Linked DNA regions of Xenopus tropicalis. The protein of the gene in region 1 purifies or fractionates together with the protein of each later gene. This does not show direct contact. Links are inferred from orthologs where the notes say so. Each region holds a gene or a part of one and is shown on either strand. Other genes may lie near its edges.

Region 1 (8,383 bases):
AGCTACACAAATGGAACATGGTGGCCGTCTCATGATTCTAATGCGTGAAATCTATCCTTACAAAACTTTGGTTTTGAATTTATTATATGAATTAGTTATGAATTTGTGGCAAAGTCCAAAAAATGGGCACAAATGTTTTTTGGGGTTTTTTTTGCATTTTTGCAAAATTCAATCTTCTGTTTGAACACTGAGGTGCAACTGGAGTAGTGTACAAAAAAAAAATATTTCTCTGTGCTGCCTGTGTTTGGCTGAGAGGTTAGCAGAAATGTTTGTGTTTAGCAGGAAGGGTGGCTTGTGGCCCTCCTGGAACACCTTTAGCTTGCCTACTAGCAGAAAATTGCTTGGAGCTGCTATGTACTATGGAGGGCTGCACTAACCATATTAAGTACAGGGCTCATTTGTGCATGACAGCCCTGTAAAGAGCCCGCTTAAGAGCAAGGCTGGAAGGAGACCATGATGTGTCTCATCAGGTCATTCCAAATCATAATGTAAAATATAAAAAGCATTGTATACAGTATATGTTGTGATTCAGAGCATTATTTGGGAAGCATGATTCAGTACATGGTCACATCATCCAAAATATTTTTTAAGAGATGAACAACACGCTACAATTTCACCTTGTGCTTAGTCATTATAAGATTATAATTAAAAATTGACACCTACAGAAAAACTAGACCTGACGTCAGAATAAGGACCTGAGCTATCTAAATCCGCCTCTGCTTGTTTGGTACTACAACTCCCTGTATTCTTAAGGTAAAGATTGCCATTTGTCACTATAACAGAAAACCAATTATATGTCATTTTTATAATCTCCTGCCTTCATCATAATCTGCAGTTGCTTACAGTGTTTGTATTTGACAGTGATGTTAAAAATTGCTAGTGAGTGTATAAACTTGGTACCATTGTTTAAACAAATAAAAGTTTAAATAAAAAAAAATTTATAACTGTGTTATTTGACTTATGCTGCTGTACTATAGGAATACCACTGAGTAGCTTTTTGTAATGAGAATTTCTGTTAGCTGCAAGTTGTGCCTAGTACAACTTGCAGCTATCACTGCAACTTTAAGCTAACAACTTTAAGTTAAAGGAGAATGCAAGTCAAAATTTAGAAAGCATACTGCCCAATAGTCCTCCTATTGTTTAGTAAAAACGCCACACTTTTGGCTCACCTAATCAAATATTTACTCAGTCACACTTACTTCACATTTTCTAGTACAGGCAGCCATCTCTAAAAAGGTATTCTCCCTTCCTTTCCCTCCTTGCTTCATACTGCACATGTGTTTCATTCTCTCCCCCCCTCCCCTCTGCCAGATCCACTTCTGATTGGCTGGTGGGCATGTGTAGCTCAGAACAGGAGACAGGATCAAGTTACACACATGCTCAGAGAATAGGAAGGCTGCCGCTGGCACCTACAGGAAGGACAGAGAGATTTCAGTGATGTCACTGTAGTCTTCACACTGCCGTAGGCTGCCAGCACCATATCTCAGAGAAGCAAGCAGGGATCTAGGAATTTAGATATGCAGTAAGTACTTAAAAAGAATACCTTTAGACTTACTTTTAATTTATATTAAGCTTTCATTGTCCTTTAAACTGCAGCCATCTTGATTAGTATTCTATCACTTTCCACAAGCAAGACCCCTGACCTAGATGGCCTACCAACTGAATTCTATAAAACATCATTTAACCATGATATTATCGCCTTTAACCAACCTGCTCAATGAGGTAGCAAGTAGGGGCTTGTTACTCGACTCACTGAAGCAGGCCTATAAATATCACCATTATATCCAAGAAAGGGAAAGATTTGCGACTTTGCTCTTCATGTCGACTGAAATCACTTATTAATTGCAATGCAAAAATATTAGCTAACATGCTGTCTAATAGGATCAAGCCTTATATGAAAGATCTGGTACACTCTGATCAAAGTGGGTTTATCTTGGCCACAACAACCTATATTAACAGGTTGCTTTGGATCTCAATTTCTCTTCTGGATACAGGTGCTATACCACTCAACTATGGCACAAATTTGGGTCAATAATATGCTCTCCACAGCCTTTTCCTTAAAGTGAGGCACAAGGCAGGGCTGCCCATTGTTGTCCTTCCTGCTTTGTCTGGCCATAGAGCCACTTGCAGAATAATCCGCAACGCAGCAGACACAGTAGGCTTTACAGTTGTCAACCTTAGTGAAAAAAATATCACTGTATGCAGGTTATATGCTGGCATATCTTGATAATCTGGGCCCTACTTTAACTTTTAAAAAGGTGCCCTCATCTTAATTCACCCCCAGTGTGAGTAGATTTGTTTCTGTATCTTGGTATCCATATTACATTAGACGTACATCAGTACATCTCTTTGAATACTGAAAGGTGTTATGCTAAGAACTTTTCAATATGCATCACTTAATTTTAAGTGGGTTTAAAAGTTATACATAAAATATAATGTCTACTAAAAGCAGTTAATTGTTCATTGCTTTCTGTTCTTTAGTTCTGACTGTTTAAGTAGCAGGAACTACCTCCCCTCTGTGCCTGGTAATCAGCTTGCTTGTTATATTGCTTCAAAAACAGCAGTGCAGAGGAATCTAAACAGAAAGATAATGCTGAAATAGAACTTTAAAACTATTTAAATTGGTTAATTGTAGTGTATTAGACAATTGGCTAGAATTACATTTTCTTATATTAGGCAAAAATGTGGGTGGAGTTTCTGAAGGGGCGTGGGGGGATACAGAGAGGAGGGGAAATGATCAAACTGATAGCAAAAGGGGACGGGCAGAAAGCAATTTATTATACTAATAAAAGTAAAGAAAACTTACAGAGAGAGACTTTGATTTGCCATCTTACAAAACCTGACAACTCCTGCTTCCTCCCTAAGTACGCGCTGCCTTCAGTCACTTCCTGGTCTTCAGGTCTTCGGAAGTGACGTCACATAGCGACCGCACGTTACTTGCAAGCGGCTTCTTCCTGGCGCTCTAAGGTATAGGTAGCTGTGTTCGCTACTCCTGAATTCTTTTCTTCGCTAGCGGCTTTTTCCCCTCATTTTCTTCCTGGCGCTCAAAGGAACCGGAATTGCTGTATTGAATTCTGCAGCAATTTTTCTTCGCATCGCCTTCACCTCATGGTTAGAAGAAATCGCTTGATTCAGTGCAGCAGCATGCAGCGGGGGCCACAGGTGTGGGGTCTGCTATTATTGCAGAAATTCGGGGGCCACAGGCCTGGGATCACTCTGCACTGTCCAGAAGCCCTGTACCATTCCCACAATGCTTTTCTAGTCACCCGGCACAGGGCTTTTTATTTCAAGCACACTTTCTTCACACCCTTCCCAATGTAGTGCTGCACCTTTCTCACTTATTATATACCCTGGGGCCCCAGGCTTGCATATCAGATATCCTGCTCTCTAGATAGGCAGCAGTTCAGTGGGTACCAGGCAGGAGTTTAGCGCTAGCAGGGATTGGAGCTGGACTCTTGTCTGTTATGTCCCTCCTGCCCACCAACATCTAGTTCATGTGGGTGCAACATGTGAACTTCCTGAAAGCATCTGTATGGAGCTGCATGGGCTTATCCACAGAAGGAAGCAACAGATGGGAGCACACTGGGATACATACAGAAGTGGGTTATGTACAGTAGTGATACACAGAGTAATCCCAAACCTGTGGGTTATGGCCAATAGTTTACTCCACTTGTGGGTGGAATGTGGGGCTCACTCTCCGCCAGCCTCTCCATTCTTACCAACCTTCTGAACGTAAAAACGTCTTGCTGCTTTTATTCGTGAAGGCTCACCTGCCCTGTCCCTGCCAATGAAGTCAGAGAAAGATGTGTTGGATGAGGGAATATAAATCATTGTGATGGGCATGGGTACAAGGGTGCTGGAGGAGCACAGTGGGATATATTCTGGGCCCCTGGGGGAGAGCAGTGTTATCACATGTCTATTAACTCATTCCCTACTAACAATGTAGAATCTGATTCAGTGGCAGAGTGCTTGCAACATAGATTCTGTCTTTCTTTTCTATTTAAATGAAAGGTCATCAAAAAAAAAATAAAATAAAAATCATGCAGGCTCAGTCTGGGATTCAAAATTTGCCCTGGCATTTTAACCACATAGGTCTGATCAGACCCCCATCAGCCCAATGAATAGTGACTGTCTATAGCATCATACAGCAGCCCCTCTGGCATTTGGCACATGTACATAGTAGTACATAGATTGCCAGTCCGGGCCTGCATGAGAGACCGTTAAACCACGTAAAATAACATAGACTGTTATAGACACATGCAAGTGACACATTAATGCACTCCATATGAGGCCCAGACTGGCAATCTGATTTTTGGGTCTAGGCCTGCTGGCATATATGTACAAATAAAAAAAAGCCAATCCGCTACCTTCCACACCGTGTACTAGTCAGCCTGTCAGCATGCACCCAGACCAGAAGGCAGCAGAGAAAATAACCACCTGTGTGCCATAAGCCTTAAACCCAAGGATGTGTATTGTAGGTTTACAAAATATACACTATGATATGGTTATGATAATTGCAGCATATCCTAAAAATCCCACGTCTTTAATAATTATACTGTACTATTTACATTTGCAAGTGAAGCATGTTATAGCATGTTACGCCTACATTTCAGTTTAATCATTTTATATTTATGCCAGTAACAGTTTATGTGTTGTTTTGTAGGGTTAGATGGTCACCCTCGTGCCTTAATAAACAATCAAAACAATGGATTTTGGTAAGTAGTAACTATGTATTTATTGTTTTACTTGTGCATTTCTATTGCCAATGGTGTTTATAAGATTATTATTTTCACATGGCTATAGAAAGGGTATTTAAGATGCAGTAATGTAGTTTATTAATCCACCACACCTCCCCTTGTTTCAGCCTGAGCTCTCTATCACCCCCTCTTTTTAAAGGAGGTATAGATTCCAGTAAAATCACGTATTTCACAACATCGGTCAGCTATTAACTTAGGAAATACTACACTACCGATTTCTAAACATTTTTGTGAGAAGGGCCACACATCCGAACAGCTTAGCTTCATGGTACTGGAATCTATACCTCCTTTAAAAAGAGGGTGATAGAGAGCTCAGGCTGAAACAAAGAAGTCCACACTCACTTAAGAAACTATAAGATGTATAACATCTTAATTAAGGTGCTGACCAACAAAGCATACTGGTGTCCACAGAAAGCACTCACGGCATCAGGTCTACAAAAAATAAGGTGCTGACCAACAAAGCATTCTGTGTCCATAGAAAGCACTCGCGGCATCAGGTCTACAAAAATTAGTCCTTTATTCTATAACCTTATTCTATATCCTTTTCTATTTTTTTTTTTAAACTTGATTATTAGTAAGATATATAAGTGGTGAAATAACAATATTTTATGCTTAAAAGGAATGTGTTTTTACAGAGCTGTGACGTTGCCAAAACAACAGCATTTTATTCATTACAGTGGGTGCCATGACAAATACCGTTTTTAATTAAAGCAAAGCAAACAACTAATAAATGTGCAGGCACTGTACGTTTAGTATCCTGACTGTTTGCTTTATTTTTGTTGTAGGAAGCTGGAATGTGTGTGAGCAAACTGCGGTTCTACAGGGTGCATTTTTATTGGCTGAAAAACTTTGCCATCCAAAAACATTGCTGGAGGTAAAGAAGTCTGACTGGCCCCTTATTCAAAAACCAATCACAGAGGCCTTCAAGGAAATAAGCTCAGGTCTTCCACCTCAACATCAAGAATGGCGGAGAAGAGCCATTGCTATACTTTGGGCCAGAACACTTTGTTGCACGCCAGATCTGACTTCCGTTTCACACTTTGACATAGATAGGAAATGGAAAGAGGATGTTTTCTTTCCAGTGGAAAACATGATCCCCAAAATAAGTCAAACTGTACTCTTTGAACTGCTCAAAACAATGAAAGCAGCAGACATTTGTGCAGAATTGCTGTTGGCACTTCCAGTTGGCATTTGGGCTGAAGGGGCCACCTCACTACTTCAGCATATTTGTGAAGAGACTTCAGTAGAGGATGTTGATTTTTTTTTAGATGTCTGGTGGGAGGTAATGAAAAGCAAGAGTGATGAGCAAAATGAAACTCTTGTGTTATTTTCCTCTGTGGTTTCCCAGTACTTACCAAAGTCTAGTGATGAACCATCACAGAGCGCCAAAAGATTTAAGTCAGATCCTGAACAGACTTTAAATCAAGCCGATAATATCCTTGCTGTTTTTCTAGAGGGGCTTCATAAAATGAAACAGTGTGTTGCTACCAACAAGCTGAGGTGCTTTACTATTGCAAATCTAGCTGAAATGTTATGCTCCTCAGCCTTTCTCGAAAAGGAGTCTGAGCTTCTGCCCATAAAATCATATTTAGAACAATTTGCAGTAGTGCTTTCCTTCTGTGAAAAAGGATCCAGAGATGTTGATATGATTAGAGTAGCAGAAAGGATGGTGCAGAGCGGAAGCACATCTTCAAGATTCCGCTTACTACGAGGTGCTCAGCATTTTGGTTTAAGCCTTCTCAAAGACCTTCTTTTTCAGTGGGGGGAGGAGTTAATTCATTATTTGAATAACAACAAAGTAGTTGGCTATGTATGTTACAGGATGAGACACAGCCTTGCATCTTTGCATAAAATCTTGAGAACGTTAGAAGATTCTGGTACCTACCCTGAAGAACAAAGAGGGGATGTACTGGAATTGGCACACTGCATTACAAGCTTTCAAGAGAAAACCACCCAAGTTCAACATGGATGTCCTTCTAATGCTAATGAAATGATGGCTTTTATTGCCATGAAAATTATTGAGAATAAAATGGACCGTTTCAAAGAAGTTTGTTCTGTCTTCGCCTCAGAAGTATCCTGGGCCTTCTCAAATGACTGGTTAAATTGTCTTGAGAAAAACAAAGCACATTTTCAGGACCCTGCAATGGTATTAAAATTGCTGGATCTCATAGTAACAGTTACTGCTTTACAAAGTAATGTGGATATTGGATCAGTACGAAAAGGCGCTGATGTCACATTAAGCATTTTTTCAGAACTTTCACTGTCTGAGAAGAATGAAGTGCTGAAAGAAGTTTTATCCTTATGGGGCAGAAAAGGGCTTTCTCCATCTATCAAAGCATTTACTGACAGTTTCCAAGATGAACTTAATATAACATTCAACCAAATTTCCCAAAGCCTTTCTGATTACAGTGCTGCTCAGGCCGTTTCAAAGGTGTCTAAACTGGCTTTGCTGAACCCGCAAGCAGTAGTAAAGAAAGCCTGTCATTTTGCAGTGGTAAATGTTGGTGCTCATACATTTTTAGCCAAGATATTGAGCTCCCTTCCAGCTTTATGCTTTAAGTGTCCTAATAATTCAGAAAAAACAGTCTCTCTGTTGTGTGAGTGCCTGATGGAAACCTGTTGGGGTAAGTTGTCTTCTGATAAGGAAGAGAGGCAGTTTTTAGCCTTACTAGCCTTTCTGATGGAATCTTCAGAAGTAAATGATAAGGATTCTTCTATCCAACTTCTCCAGCCAGCTGAAGTCATACAAACATTTGTTCTCCCGTACATTTTTGACGAATATGCTAATGTTGCGTTATGCTTGCACATACTTCATAAGGCTTTTAATGTTCAGAATCCTGAGGATGAATCTGGAAAACATTGGGTTTTATCCTGTTCCCCGTTTCCACTTATTATGTCATTATGTAAGCTTCTTAATTCCTACACAAAATGCTGGCAACTTTCTGAGAATTCACATTGCCTTACACTGGGCTCCAAAGAGTTAATCATTGACATTCTTACACTGATCATTAATGCAGTCATGCCCGAGGCTGGAAACAACTCTGAAACGTGGAACAAGTCACTCTTCTGGTTGCATAAAAAAATGGAAAACTTGGATTGGGTTGTATGTTTGAGGCTAAAACCAATATTTGGAAAACACTTTAAAAACGAAGTCCCATCTTCATTATTTGACGTTGGCAAACTGTCTGAGAGGGAATGGGTTCCTCTTCAGCTACCCGAGTATGGACCAGGCACAGGTCTTATGGCATGGCTGGAATGTTGCTGCATATCTGCAGAAATGAAAAACCAAATGCTTTCTCTTCTCTCTGTCAACAGCAAAGACCCTGAGGAGGTCAACCTTTTTAGTAAAGGTTTTCTGGTGGCAATGATCCAAGTTCTACCATGGTGTAGCTCAACAGAATGCAAGCTTGTTGCTGAGGTAGTGAGACATCTCCTTAAAAGACGACTCCTTCATGTACCCTACACTCTAGAATATGTACAGCATATGCCACTTTTGAATCTGCGACCATTTGCTTATAATCTCCAGTTCTCTGTTCTTCTTCTCAGAGGCTTTCAGCTTCTATGTAGTTCTAGTTGTTCTGATTGGCTACCTTTTGAAGGGCACAAACACATTGCAAGGCTTTATA
Region 2 (7,688 bases), about 37 Mb from region 1:
TATTACCCTCTACCATTTAAATTTTTATTCTTAAACCAACAAATGTAGTTTTCTTTAGTTGTATTATTGCCCTTTGGTGTGTAGGCAGCCATCTCAGTGCATTGTGCCTGAGTCTGTGCTTTCAGATGTAGCCAGTGCTACACATTAGAACCGCTTTGTAATGTAATTGGAGAAGTTGCAGTCCGGACTTGGATTTCTTACTATTGAGTGCTATTCTGATATCTACTGGGAGCTGCTATCTTGTTACCTTCCCATTTGTAATCCTCCAGCCAGTAATTTTACCTTCCCAGTAGACTTCCCTGCTGATCGGCTGCTGGGGGGAAAAGGGAGGGGGTGTGATATCTCTCCAACTTGCAGCTCAGCAGTAAAGTGTGACTGAAGTTTATCAGAGCAATGTTCACATGGCTGAAGCACACTGGGAAGTAAAGAATATGGCTAGCCTCATGTGAAATGTCAAAATTAAATAGAAAAAAAACTTTGCATTTTTGAAAAACAGATTTCAGTGCAGGATTTGATGTGCTTTTGGGGTTTTTTTTTTTTTTTTTTTTTTTTACAGTATTTCTTTTTTGCACAATATAGTATCCTCTACTAAAATAAAGTGCCTTTAATGCCCACCTCAAGGTAATTAATAAACAAGTTAAAAAGCAAAGGCCCTGCGGTGCTTCATGAACAACACCGGTCCAATTAGAAAATGTTTCATTTACTACCATGCTTTGTAATCCTCCAGCCAGTAATTTAACAATTAACCTTTGTGGTACTGTCACAAATTAAAGCACTAAGCACCATTTATAAGGATATCTACAGGATATTCATGCATATGGAAATTGTAAGAGTGTTATCACCAAATCACCAATTGCCAAGTCCTTTAACTAAACATATACAGTGGCTTGCAAAAGAATTCGGCCCCCTTGAACTTTTCCACATTTTGTCACATTACAGCCACAAACATGAATCAATTTTATTGGAATTCCACGTGAAAGACCAATACAGAGTGGTGTACACGTGAGAAGTGGAACGAAAATCATACATGATTCCAAACATTTTTTACAAATAAATAACTGTAAAGTGGGGTGTGCGTAATTATTCAGCCCCCTTTGGTCTGAGTGCAGTCAGTTGCCCATAGACATTGCCTGATGAGTGCTAATGACTAAATAGAGTGCACCTGTGTGTAATCTAATGTCAGTACAAATACAGCTGCTCTGTGACGGCCTCAGAGGTTGTCTAAGAGAATATTGGGAGCAACAACACCATGAAGTCCAAAGAACACACCAGACAGATCAGGGATAAAGTTATTGAGAAATTTCAAGCAGGCTTAGGCTACAAAAAGATCTCCAAAGCCTTGAACATCCCACGGAGCACTGTTCAAGCGATCATTCAGAAATGGAAGGAGTATGGCACTGTAAACCTACCAAGACAAGGCCGCCCACCTAAACTCACAGGCCGAACAAGGAGAGCGCTGATCAGAAATGCAGCCAAGAGGCCCATGGTGACTCTGGACGAGCTGCAGAGATCTACAGCTCAGGTGGGGGAATCTGTCCATAGGACAACTATTAGTCGTGCACTGCACAAAGTTGGCCTTTATGGAAGAGTGGCAAGAAGAAAGCCATTGTTAACAGAAAACCATAAGAAGTCCTGTTTGCAGTTTGCCACAAGCCATGTGGGGGACACAGCAAACATGTGGAAGAAGGTGCTCTGGTCAGATGAGACCAAAATGGAACTTTTTGGCCAAAATGCAAAACGCTATGTGTGGCGGAAAACTAACACTGTACATCACTCGGAACACACCATCCCCACTGTCAAATATGGTGGTGGCAGCATCATGCTCTGGGGGTGCTTCTCTTCAGCAGGGACAGGGAAGCTGTTCAGAGTTGATGGGAAGATGGATGGAGCCAAATACAGGGCAATCTTGGAAGAAAACCTCTTGAGACTGGGGCGGAGGTTCACCTAAACATAAAGCCAGGGCAACAATGGAATGGTTTAAAACAAAACATATCCATGTGTTAGAATGGCCCAGTCAAAGTCCAGATCTAAATCCAATGGAGAATCTGTGGCAAGATCTGAAAACTGCTGTTCACAAACGCTGTCCATCTAATCTGAATGAGCTGGAGCTGTTTTGCAAAGAATAATGGGCAAGGATTTCAGTCTCTAGATGTGCAAAGCTGGTAGAGACATACCCTAAAAGACTGGCAGCTGTAATTGCAGCAAAAGGTGGTTCTACAAAGTACTGACTCAGGGGGCTGAATAATTACGCACACCCCACTTTGCAAAAAATGTTTGGAATTATGTATGATTTTCCTTCCACTTCTCACGTGTACACCACTTTGTATTGGTCTTTCACGTAGAATTCCAATAAAATTGATTCATGTTTGTGGCTGTAATGTGACAAAATGTGGAAAAGTTCAAGGGGGCCGAATACTTTTGCAAGCCACTGTATCCTAAAGGATAGCCACCCTTATACTTTTGAGTATAGGATGACAAATGCCTTATAATACATATGATGTTTATATGTGGTGGACGTGGAGATTTATACAAAGGCTTTAAAGGGAGGTAGAAGTATATGGCATACTGGCTACCCAGTTTATATGTAAAGGAAATATATCAAAGCTAACCATTAGTTTAATGGTCTTCTCATAAAATAGCTGTCATTTTGCATGAAAAACTTATGTATTGCATATAACTTTTGTTTTCTCTTTTTTTCAGCTGGATATATTCCTCTCTTCCTGCTAACAAACAAATGCTAGCTGTTTCAGCCACTTACCCGGAATCTTTAGCAAAAGCACTGACAAGATACATGAGAGAGCCTACATTTGTAAGGTTGAATGTAACCGACCCCAGCCTCCTTGGTGTGTATGTTAAATTACTTGGATGAACTTCTAGCAGTTTAGAAATACAGTAGAACCCCCATTTTTTCAGGGGACCAGAAAAAACTGTAAACAGTTGTAATCATAGTATGTAAAATTGAGGTTTCATTGTATATTCTACTTTCATTTGCTCTGTGTAACTTTATACATACATTTTTGCTTGGCTTAGGTTTGAAGCAGTTTTATAAAGTTGTGAAATCGCACCCACTGCCACACAAGGTTTTTGACGAAAAGGTGATGCATTTGCAAGAGCTGTTCAACAGAATTTCTTTCAATCAAGCTTTGGTGTTCTCAAATCTCCATAGCAGGTAATAAGACTGGCCCCACTACTATAATGTCTGATATGGAAGATGCTCCGCTGGTAGGAAAACGCCTGACACAGCTCTTGCTGTTTGCTCCAGTTGCATCCACCTATCACTTTGCACATGGAGGGATGTTGACCCAAAAATGCATACATGAAAATTGAGTTGGCATTAGTCTGACAATGGAAGATCTGGCACATATCCTATTGGCTTTTTCTTGCTGCTGCATTATCACAAAACCAAGGGTGTAAGGATGCACTAAATCTCTGATTCGATTTGGTGTTTGGCCAAATCAAAATGTTTTTTAGTAGGATTTAGTGGCATCTAAGGGAGTGCTTTGTCAATGGTCATTTTTTCTGTGATTCATATTTGTTTTGTGCTAATCATGATTTTTTTTTTTGCATACAAAAATGTGAATGTTGTCTTTAAGCTACAGACCAGGACTAGAGCTGCTAAAGCCCTCTCTTCTCTGCATTGTGTGTTGTCCCAGAGGATGACTTGGCAGTCAGCCAAATAAAAAAAAAAAAAAGTTCACACTTTTCACACCAGTTGGTTTTGTGCATGCCAGGCTGGTACCTCTTTTACCCCCCACTGCAGCAACCCCGCCACCACGTGTGTGCATTTCATAGTAACATAGTAAGTTGGGTTGAAAAAATCACGTTCAACCATAATAAATGCATTGTCCTGGTTGGGGCAGGCCAAGCGGGGCAGATTGCCTAGGGCACCCGGTTGGCTTGGCCCGCCACTGGTCTCAACCGTAGAAAATCATGTGACTTTTGGTTACGTAAAGAAGGTTCATTGTAACTCCTACATGCATATTTGCATTTGCAAATTAGAGTTTGGCTTTAGTTTGAATTTCCTTCATGAAAAACTCAAAAATAGAGGATTCATCACTGTTAGTGTTTTTATTAAAATGATTTTGTTTTAATAGCTGCTATAAACATGATGCTGATGTCTTCCTCTTCTTTTAATTTTTAATAACAGGGCTCAGCACTTGGCTAATATTCTTACAGCTAAAGGCTTCCCAGCAGTGTGCATATCTGGTAAGAAAATGTCTGTTTAAAAGACTTTAATTTAATGCCTTTTGGTTTGCAGCACTTGTTGGCACTTGTTATGCTTTTCTTCACCTAATGAATTTACCAGGCTATCTCTAATATAGTTCTTATGAGCTTTTTTTAGTATATAAATAGGTTCAGTTCTCTTGTGTAGTGCTGGCTCTTTTTGAACCCTAGGATGAGGCACATGCTCTGAGATGGCTGCCTACACGCCAATAATACAGCTAAATGAAATACAATTAAGATTAATTACAAATGGTAGAATGAATTATTTTCAATGTGAACAGTGTAATATAGTATTAAAAACTATACTGTAAAAATGATGAGAGAATCCATTAAGCATGGGCAACAGTATGCAAGTCCTTCAAAGCAAGCTGGTAGCTTACCTGTTCCACTGAGGGATCTCTTACCTATTCTAAGTATCCCTTGAAAGCGGCCTTTTAAATAAACTTTTAGTATGGTGTTTTAAAAATAAGATTTGCCATTTGTCTTTTTGTTCAGCAGCTTCCCAATTTAAAACGTCAGCAGCATGGTTGCTAGGGTCAAATTTACTTTGCAACCTTTCAGTGGTTTCAGTATGATAAATATGAGCGAGCCTGAATAGAACAATAGATAATTAAATGAAACAATAAAATGGTAGCATTCCAGAGCGATAGTTTTTTAAAAGTCTGAAATAATGAGAAGTGGAATACAAATTAATAACTATAAAATAAAAACAAATCAAATTTACAGTATATCCTTATGTTTATGTAGAGATGACTATATCCTTCACTGCAAATAGACTAGAAGCTGTGCCAGAATGTACAGTAGTGTGGCAAAAAACTCTATCCTGTATTCCTTGGGTTATTTTAATGTGAATTTATTAATTTCTGTTTTTAATTAGCAACCTTACTAATGCAGCTTTGGTATTTCTAGGTAGCATGAATCAAAACCAAAGGCTGGATGCTGTGGCCAAACTCAAGCAGTTCCATTGCCGGGTCTTAATTTCTACTGATTTAGTAAGTGACTAACCTGATAATGATTTGGGCTTTAACATGCAGAATTCTCTTAAAAAAGGCAGCTAGTATAATTTATTGAAAAAGAGTAAAACTTTTTGATCTAAAAGACACAGACGCCATTTTTTGATAAACTAGGATTATCCCTTGATACAGTGGAAGGCACAGAGGTCCCTGACATAGCCTGCTGTAGTTATTGATAATTACTTGCTGCCTTTCATTTTGGAAGTGCTAAAAAGAAATGAATTACAAAGAACTGTTGCATTGTAGAGCTCTGCACACTCTATTGATTCACTTTAATGTGAGTACAAACAGAATAAATTCACTGTAGAATTCTTGACTGTAGCAAACAGTATCTTATTAGTCTGAAGGATAGCTAGGAAGAGTTCGGTAAGATTGAACTGTAATTGCTAGGATTTTCATTCTGCATTAGACTTGGAAGTTAATTGAAGGTGTCAAGTGGCTACTGTTAAAAAGGACCCTCAAGGCTAGAAACACATTTTGTAGGCTGAAATATAAAAATCAACTCTCATGTATTAGAAGTATAAACAACGGACAAAGGTTTTTGCTTTTTATTCTAAGGCTGTGAAGGCAGAACCTTTTTTTTTTTTTTTTCTTTCTTTAAAGACTTCGCGGGGGATTGATGCAGAGAGGGTGAATCTGGTTATTAATCTTGATGTTCCAGAGGACTGGGAAACCTATATGCATCGAATTGGAAGAGCTGGACGGTTTGGTAAATTATAAATACTTTACCTTTGGTGTGTGCTTAAATCTGTTGACTGTAAAGTATTATTCTGTAGTAGTGCTGGGCGGTATGACCAAAAATTTATATCACGGTATTTTTTTTATTATATCGGTATCACGGTATTTGACGGTATTTTTTTTTTCCCATGCATGATTAGGTGACCACCCCAAACACCCCCCCATCCAACCCCAAACACCCCCCCATCCAACCCCAAACAACCCCCATCCCCTTCACATAAATAAACCTTACGGGCCAGGCAGCCGCAGGCACCCCCGACAGCTCACAGAGCCTCCTGGCAATTTTTCTTACTATTTACGGGTTGCGCACGTGACGTCAGCGCGCACAACCCGGAAATAGTAAGAAAAATTGCCAGGAGGCGCCCACACCGGTATGCCGGTAAGTTAAAATTTTTTATCATTTTAAAAAAAAAAAAAAAACGGTGTTCGGTGTATACCGCCCAGCACTATTCTGTAGGTGTGCCTACTTTGCCTACGTAGTATGGACACTGGGTATGCCTACACATGGCAACTCTATCCCCTGTTCTACTCTATAAAAAGACTACATGGCTTTTTTTTATTTGCTTTTTAAAGGGGACCTGTCACTGACAAAGACAATAGAAAATAATTTGAGATTTCTTACAAACATAATAATCTTCACTCACACTATGTAAATAATATAAATTTTGTTTTCTTCAGTCTTGGAATTCACAATCCATTCTAAGAAGAAAGCAGGGTTATTCTTTCATTTTTATCACTAGCGCCCAATTTTTTTAAAAACATTGAAGCTGTAGCAGTTACAATTTACATGCACTTAGCCATTTTTCTTTATTTTTAGGGCTAGAAATGTAAAAGCTTCAACATTTTCAGAGCAGTTGCTAATGTAGTAATGGAATTTTGGTTAAAGTAGTAAAATGGTACTGACAGTACTACTTACAGTAGCATTTCAGTAACTTTGTCAAGATTATCGACATTAATACAATATTATGAATTTCTTCTTGTTTTGGCAATAAGAAAAGGATGCTATTTTTCTAAGTGCATTAATTGAGTGAGGTTCTTTATAAAAAGCAAGATGAGGGCAAAAAAACTGAAGTTGAACTGAAAAATATCCCTTCTTATCCTGTTATAGATGTAGGAGTGTTTGAGATGGAATAAAAAATACCATCTGTTGAACAGCTCCTCTTATTAGTTTTCTTAACCAGTTGCAAAAGGTAATTCATTCCCATGGTTCAAGATGTTTTGTAGCCTTGAAGCTTAATAAGGCTTGCTGTACAAATTCTAAAACTCTAATCCATGTGTATAACTACTGAATCTTTGCAGGTACTCATGGCCTCTCTGTAACTTTCTGTTGCCATGGGGAAGAGGAGAATATGATGATGGGAATTGCAATGAAATGCAATCTTAAGCTTTTGCCTTTACCAGGTAAAAACCCTCAATGATGGCATGATGTGTTTAACTTGGAATTTGGCTGTATACCATAGCACTGTTTATGTATTCTAGCAATCCATTTGTAGCCAAAATGACAAGCCTAAATTCTTGTTTATTTTTCTGTACTGACCATGTATTTGGCCAAAAGGCTCATCTGCTTAGATGCCTTTCCCATGTATATTGCACAAGGGCATTCCCAAAATGTGTATAAGATTGCATATCCGCAAAATGCTAGATCCAGAGTTTACTTGTCCAGGTCCTGGACCCTGTTAGGCAAGTCACTGTGATGTGGATCTTGTGGGTTAT
Region 3 (7,688 bases), on another chromosome or scaffold:
CCTTCCTGTATTTCCCCTTTATATTGGTACCTGTGGGTGTATGTAGTGCTGGCCTGGGGTATCTGTAGCCTCCTGTCTCCTTCCTGTATTCCCCCTTTATATTGGTACCTGTGGGTGTATGTAGTGCTGGCCTGGGGTATCTGTAGCCTCCTGTCGCCTTCCTGTATTTCCCCTTTATATTGGTACCTGTGGGTGTATGTAGTGCTGGCCTGGGGTATCTGTAGCCTCCTGTCTCCTTCCTGTATTTCCCCTTTATATTGGTACCTGTGGGTGTATGTAGTGCTGGCCTGGGGTATCTGTAGCCTCCTGTCTCCTTCCTGTATTTCCCCTTTATATTGGTACCTGTGGGTGTATGTAGTGCTGGCCTGGGGTATCTGTAGCCTCCTGTCTCCTTCCTGTATTTCCCCTTTATATTGGTACCTGTGGGTGTATGTAGTGCTGGCCTGGGATATCTGTAGCCCCCTGTCTCCTTCCTGTATTTCCCCTTTATATTGGTACCTGTGGGTGTATGTAGTGCTGGCCTGGGGTATTTGTAGCCCCCTGTCTCCTTCCTGTATTTCCCCTTTATATTGGTACCTATAGTAATGTATAGTGCTGAGAATGTTGTGTGTACGTCTCAGCATTCCTCTTTGTGTGCATAATTAGGAGGAAAAGGGAGGTAAATGAATTGGTTCTAGAGAGCAATTTTCCCCCCTTTAGTCCAGTCGCTTGTTTACCATTCCCCCTGCACCTGGCCACACTGCCATCTTTCAGGCTGCATTCACGCACTTCAGGGCCTTTATTGCAAGGTGATGGTAATACGCTAGCAATGCCCCAGATTTGCATGTGTGGTGCAAAGTTTAAAACCTTTGTCCTACCTGGCCTGTAAAGGTGTCTGTCAGGTACTGTAGTGTCAGAAACCCAGTGGCAGTAACAAATCAAGTATGTGATTGGGGTTAAGAAGAGCCTCCCTGTATAACAAATAGTTTTGAGAGAAAGCGGCTGAACAATCCGCTAAATAATTCAGAGTTTGCAAATAAAAAATAAAGGCAAAAAATTGCAAATTCTTAGAATAACTCTACATCATACTGAACGTTAAAGGGGGTTGTTCACCCTTAAGTTAACTTTTAGTTTGAGACAATTTGCAGTTGGTCTTAATTTTTTCTTTGTAGTTTTTCTATTTTCAATAGTTTTGTCAACTCTCTGGTTTGGTTGCTAGGCTCCAAATTACCTTAGCACCCAGGGAATGATTGGAATGAGAGACTGATAATTGAATAGGAGAGAGACAAAGTAACAACAATAAAAGTGTAGCCTCACAGAGCAGTAGGTTTTCTTGGTTTAGGGGCTCGATGACCCCCCATTTGAAAGCTACAACGAGTTTGTAGAAGGTGGCAAATAATTCAAACTATAAGCGAAATAATAAGGACCAGTTGAAGAGTTTCTTAGAATTGTCCATTTTATAACATGCTAAAAGTTAAATTAAAGGTGAGCCACCCCTTTTAATGATCCAGTATGCTTTGCCAATTAATACATAAAGGTGCAAGAAATGTACTCTGGTTGCCCTGGGGTGTTTGTTTTTTGATACTTGGCGTCTAATTCCATCATAAAATGGGGAGTATATAGGAATTAAATCTCTGCACTTAGGGATGGTCATGACATTTTTATAGCCCTGAAAAAAGGGGCTGGGGGGTCAGATCTCAATGATCAAAAAATACAGAATAAAGACATTTACGCTGTAAATTAAGGAATAATCCTGCTTTCAGATTGGACTGTGTGCCGTTTCACTTGCAAAAAGTGTAAACATAGACTAATGAGGAGTTCCGGGTACAGAGCAATAGCTGTGATCATGCGCACACTGACTTTTCCTTCAACAGTAGAAAATTTATTTAAAATAAGGTGCAAAACTGAAGTCATAGAGCAGATTAAATGTGAGGAGATTTAATACATGTTATTAAAATTAAGTGTAAAGATAGCCATTCAGCTCCCTTCAGATCTATTAATCAGTTTATCTGCACGTGTATGAGGCTCTCCGATGGGCCTCTCTGGCCAATATCTGGCTGAAAATCGGGCATGGTTGATTTTCCTGTTAGAACGAGGACTGCATCGGATCATTGATCTGGACCTCGCCCCAGTGGCATGTATCCCAGTCATTATCAGATCATTTGGCCCTAGGAGCTATTTATATTTTCATAAAGATGATTTCAATGTTCTTAAAATATCTTTTGTGTAAACATTATTCAGTTGATTTTTTCTTATTCTATACAGGTCTTCAGGATGACACAGTTCTTGCCTCCAAACTTGTTGGCGCTCTTTGCACCTAGAGATCCAGTACCATACCTCCCTCCTTTAGATAAACTACCCCATGAAAAACACCACAATCAGCCATACTGTGGGATTGCTCCTTACATAAGAGAATTTGAGGTGAGTACACAGCTATATGAACCCGCTAAATGATTTATACCTGCAAAGGAAATTACATAAATCTTATAATAAATGTTATTGTACACAGGACCCTCGAGATGCTCCACCTCCAACTAGAGCAGAAACCCGCGAGGAGCGGATGGAAAGGAAGGTGAGATGTTCACTGATAATACTGTATTTTTGAGAGCATAGATGTTTTACATTTCTTTCTGTGGTTATCTTTGTGTGCCCACAACTCTAGAAGTTTGTAAACATTCACTGTCATTTTTTCAAGTGGCATATAACGTTCAAAATGGGGCTTAGAGAATCAACTAGACATGAGGTTCTTATATACAGAGCAGTTTTTGCACTGAAAAAGAAAGAGCTTCCATTTTTAGCAAACTACAAAGTGGATATGGATGTTAGTAGATATAGTAAATTGATCAGGGGGCAGCAGGACCATATATAGGTTCTTCAGTTGGAATTTACTAAACCGGATAAAAACATTTTAAAAGAACAGTTATTACTTGACTGGGAAGCTCAAATTATTTTTTTTGTCAGCAACCAAAATATATAAAAGTTAAATGACTCAAGCTAGGATTTATGATACAGGAGGTTTTTGCGATTATCCACTCTTCTACTATAGTAGGTGGGAAAGTGGTCAGGAACAGTGATTCTGCTTTTATCATCCAACAGAAGCTTCTGTATTAGACTGCATCTTTTCTGGTTAAGTGAAAAAATACCATTCCATTTGTGGAGTGGCCCCAAACTCTTGGCCAGACCTTTTTTTTTTTTTTTTTTTTTTTTTTTGCAGCGATTATTTCTACTTTTTCAAATGATAGTAGGCTTGTCTGTTGTGCTAAAATGACCCTGCAGCTGCTTTGTAGTGTGAATTACCTTAAAACCTTTTAAATCACTTTAACAGCGAAGAGAGAAGATTGAAAGAAGACAGCAGGATGTCGAGAATGAACTTAAAATATGTAAGTGCTACTTCAAGTAACATTTTCTGCCCTTTTTATTTACCATGCTGTCTTTCAGTTGGAAAAGTATAGTTTGTATCATTGAGTTTATCTTAGTTTGTCAATGTTTTCAGTCAACATTACATATTTGGAAGACCGTTCATAAAATATTTTGTTTTTAATTTCTGTTCTTTTCACCTGATAGGGGATCCACACAATGATCAGAATGCTCAAGGAGATGCCTTCAAAACCCTTTTTGTTGCCAGAGTGGTAAGTTTTATTTGTGCTCTTGTGTTTCTTGTCAGAATAATCCTTAAGTCACTGTAGTAGCAGTCAGGAAATTTAGGTAGCAGGTAACTGTGTGTGGGTTTTTATGTATATGGTTAAGTGGTGAGGCTGTGATGTAGGATCTTATGCTTGAGACCTTGATTCCGTTCCTTTTGGCAAATCCTTGTGACCTTGGACTTAATCTCTTGCTGTCCCAGGGTGTATGTAATAGCTGCCTAGCTGGCTGTAAAAGCACTTTGAGTGCTGTGGGGGAAAAGTGCTATATAAATGATTTAGACAGACCTTTGCTCCAAAATTCTTAAGGTAGCATACCTTTATTATAGTTAAGTGTCTTAAGGTGGCCATAGATCGGCATATTTAAACGATTTGGCTCGATATGGGGACCCCTGGCTGAAAATTGGGCAGGTTTTTTTTTTTTTTCCTTCAGTTCGGGGACTGCATCGGCTCATTGATGTGGTCCTTGTTCCGATGGCTCCTATTCCCATCTTGTAATCCAGTTGTTTGGCCGAATGATTGGATTACTCCGATATCTCCCGCCTTAGGTGGGAGTACTGGGAGAAAGATTCTCTCATTTGGCGAACTCTCCAAACGAGCGGATCTTAACGTGTATGGCCACCTTTAGAGCATGTTCTAGCATATCACTGACGATACTTGAATCTGTTCTCCATTGGGGTATGATGTCTTTGGTTCGCTATATGTTGAACAAGTCCTGACATCTTTACACCAATTCAGCTACAGGAGGGGTGCTAAACCCTGTAGAGTTTTGGTCAGAAAATATGACTTTTCCTGGTGCCTTTTGGGGGAAAAAAGCCTATAGCATTTTTCATGAACCGAATGATTTGTTTTTCAGAATTATGATACAACAGAGTCTAAGCTACGACGTGAGTTTGAGGTGTATGGACCTATAAAACGGGTATGTATATTGTTCGTGTTAAAAAAAAATTTTTGACTTCACTTAAAACAATAAGACAAGCTTTTCTAGTTGTACTACATGACCTGTTTGGCCTGGTTCACGCATTTATTTATACTGTTATGGCATAAGTCATAAGCTCCATAGCCGTCTGTAAATAGTTTAGAAAGTTTTGTCTCATTTTCTAATTCTAAAAGCAGAGAGTCCAATAGTGTGTGGTTGGTGATTTTGTGCTGATGTATGCAAAATGACAACTAGAAAGCATTCTGGCCTTATACAGTATCTGTTAGCTGACAGCTTTACTCATGGGATGATTGGTGTGTCGAGGGCGCCAATCGGTTTTCATTTACAAATGTAATTTCTTTCTATTTTAGATTCATATGGTATACAATAAGCGGTCTGGGAAACCCCGTGGATATGCCTTCATTGAGTATGAACATGAAAGAGATATGCACTGTAAGTTTTTAATTCTCTAACAAAAAATTAGTTTTGTTTTAGCAATTTTAAAGAAAATGTTTTTACTTTTGTAAGCCCTTTGCAATGAAGGGCTGTGTTCCAGAAGGTAAGTAACTGTGAACCATTCGGGTGGGCACTCGAATTCCAGTAATCCCCCTTGTAACACTCACCATTCCCTTAAAGAGACGTTCACCTTCAGAAACGTAATCTTCAAATAGAAAGCACTTGAAATTAGTAGCAATTTGAGGTGTACTGATCTGTTGCAACATTTTAGTGAGTTTGGGGGGGGGGGTGGAAGAATGAAATGTAAAGCGATAATCCAAGTGTAAAGAAAATTGGGGGAAAAAAACATTAGCAAATGTTTGTGCCCACCTGTTACAATAAAGGTAACAGGTAAACCATTTTGGAATGTTCCTGCTCAGATTTACATTTGCTTATTACTGTCTTATCTTATTAAACATTGCCCCAAGGATGTTGGTTCAGGGAATGATGTTGGGTTTGTCTTAAGCAGCTTTAATGCACTGTGCAATAAAGCCAGTACAGTCACAGTCAGGAGATTGTAATGGGGGACAAACCTCTACAAGGGCTGTGTGTGCTGTTGCTCTAAACTGGTGTTGTAGAAAAGGTATGCTTAAAGCAGCGGCATCTGTAGAGCTTTATTTACTTCAAAGTTCTCTTTACCCACTTGGGATTGCTGTAGTCCGGGTTCTACCAAGGATGGCTTACAGGACGGGCAACATTATTATGTTCAAGTGCCAGGTGGCGCATTTCTTGAGCAGCTTGCTAATGCCTGTTCCAAGAAATCACTGGCTTTATTTTACCTGTTTTTGGAAAGGGGGCAACTTGCATCTCCTGTTTGTATGAGCATAACTGTTGCCCATCCTTAAAATTCTATTTTTTTTCTAGTTTTATAATGTAGAGCTAAATCTTATCTGTGACAGTGCAATGTGAGGGGGGTGTATTAATTTTGTGTTCTTATTGCCACTGCAGCCACCATTGTGATGGCAATTGCCACTGCTGGCTTGCAGCTGAATCTAATGCTCCCCTTTACAACATCTCATTGTATGGTTGGTATAAGGGTTTGTATGATGGGTAAGACTTTGCAGCATTTACACACACAAGACACAGCAAAGCAACCACTTCACCTTGCACAGTTCTCACATTGTAAGTACATCTCTTACTACCTGGACACATGGACATGTTTATTTGTAGGGAGATGGTTTGTTTTTATGAGCAATACTTTTTATATTTGGCTATATTTACATTTTCATATACTTAAGCAAACATTGGGCAGCATGTCACATAAGCAGTTTTCTATCTAACAAGAATGCTGCTATAACTACTTGTCTATAGCCGTACAGTACAGCAATGGGGCACGGGCAGTATAGACGTGAGATACTAAATCTACAGTAGTGGATTTTTATTTTTGCCTCTTAATGCATAGTATTATGGGAAACACAATGGATTCTTCTGGGTTCTCTCCATTGCTCTTTCAAACACATTTTAATACTGACAGTAAGGGTTTTGGGGCATTTACTAATCCTAACTTAGAAGTTCCTAATGTATACATTCCCATTTTAGCTACTTTTACATTCAGTAATATGAAAATCATTATTAGATATTCCAGAAGGCAACAATGTCTGTATCCAGTTTCCTTTTTTGGGATATCTATTTGAATTTGTTTGCTGTGCAAGCAATGTCCATTTAAATGCACATATTGTACAACACCAAAAAAAAAAACATTTTTAAATACTGTGAAAAGTCAATTTTGCATTTGGAAGGAAACCATACTTACAGAACAGTTGCAGGTGAGGTATACTATAGATCAGAGTACTTGTTAGCTGGTAAACCAATGATGCTAGTATTTAAGTACAGACCAGGATATCGTAATCTAAAAAAAAAAAAAAAAAAAATAGTAATACATTAATGGGTTTATGTAATAAAAGGCACTAAGTTTGCCCAGGAGCAGTAACCCATGGCAGCCAATCAGGTGTTTGTTTTTAAACATCAGATTGTTTGCTAAGGGTTACTGTTCCTGGGCAAACTTAGCACCTTTATTACATATGGGGTTAAAATTCTTAAGGTAGACCTAAAATTGCAATATATTTGTAGGTAGCAGCTTCTGTGTAATTGACTTCAAATCTAGCTTCTTGTATTTGAAACGTCAATCATGAATGAGAAGGGAATCTGTACTTCTAGGAATAATTTAATATAGTAGCAAGAGAGCTCAGTTCAAGGGCTAGGCTATCATTGCATGGATTCCATTGCCTAGTTTTGAGTGCTACGGGACCTGGCACATAAGTGGTGAGTGAGAAACTGATGGACTGTGTTGGCAATGTTTGCCTTAAACGGACAGTCCTGCACGTTGAACCCCCATTTGGCTTTTTGTGAAAGGTTGCTTGTGGACTAATCACAAACGGCTTATTGCTTTGTGTGATCATGGGAGTTACGAGTCAGGCTACTTCACCTTACAGGAGCAAGCAGCTGCTGGGTAACTAGTAACCTGCATTTGGGAGTTAGCAATTCCTATTAGTACAGATTCCCTCTAATACAGATCATGGTTGTTCCAAATTTCAAGAATGGCTTGTTTTCAACAATATAATATTAGGTAGTATAGGCTTGGTGTCATGAAAGGTAGGTCACAGTTTTAGTTCTTAAAGGTAGAAAAAGAATAGTCTTATCGCACTTGTAGTTGC

Evidence for each region. Proteins that work in one complex are often made in the same cells at the same time.
Region 2: the proteins of gemin4 (region 1) and ddx20 purify together in Homo sapiens (co-immunoprecipitation; 7 studies listed by BioGRID and IntAct, counting the BioPlex papers as one, with this or other methods). This does not show direct contact. The link is inferred for Xenopus tropicalis from reciprocal best matches to the Homo sapiens genes GEMIN4 and DDX20.
Region 3: the proteins of gemin4 (region 1) and snrnp70 purify together in Homo sapiens (affinity purification with mass spectrometry; 5 studies listed by BioGRID and IntAct, counting the BioPlex papers as one, with this or other methods). This does not show direct contact. The link is inferred for Xenopus tropicalis from reciprocal best matches to the Homo sapiens genes GEMIN4 and SNRNP70.

Annotation. Positions count from the first base shown.
Region 1 is NC_030678.2:96,475,255-96,483,637, forward strand, and holds the start of gemin4 (gem-associated protein 4), read left to right. Parts: upstream 1-2,815; 5' UTR 2,816-2,967; intron 2,968-2,974; exon of another isoform or gene 2,975-3,162; intron 3,163-3,169; exon of another isoform or gene 3,170-3,599; intron 3,600-4,663; 5' UTR 4,664-4,705; coding exon 4,706-4,715; intron 4,716-5,542; coding exon 5,543-8,383. UniProt on the Homo sapiens protein: The SMN complex catalyzes the assembly of small nuclear ribonucleoproteins (snRNPs), the building blocks of the spliceosome, and thereby plays an important role in the splicing of cellular pre-mRNAs.
Region 2 is NC_030678.2:59,580,039-59,587,726, forward strand, and holds part of ddx20 (probable ATP-dependent RNA helicase DDX20), read left to right. Parts: intron 1-2,700; coding exon 2,701-2,843; intron 2,844-3,030; coding exon 3,031-3,169; intron 3,170-4,147; coding exon 4,148-4,206; intron 4,207-5,133; coding exon 5,134-5,216; intron 5,217-5,840; coding exon 5,841-5,946; intron 5,947-7,274; coding exon 7,275-7,376; intron 7,377-7,688.
Region 3 is NC_030683.2:113,683,944-113,691,631, forward strand, and holds part of snrnp70 (U1 small nuclear ribonucleoprotein 70 kDa), read left to right. Parts: intron 1-2,244; 5' UTR 2,245-2,253; coding exon 2,254-2,400; intron 2,401-2,488; coding exon 2,489-2,551; intron 2,552-3,304; coding exon 3,305-3,359; intron 3,360-3,543; coding exon 3,544-3,608; intron 3,609-4,476; coding exon 4,477-4,539; intron 4,540-4,910; coding exon 4,911-4,992; intron 4,993-7,688. UniProt on the Homo sapiens protein: Component of the spliceosomal U1 snRNP, which is essential for recognition of the pre-mRNA 5' splice-site and the subsequent assembly of the spliceosome. SNRNP70 binds to the loop I region of U1-snRNA.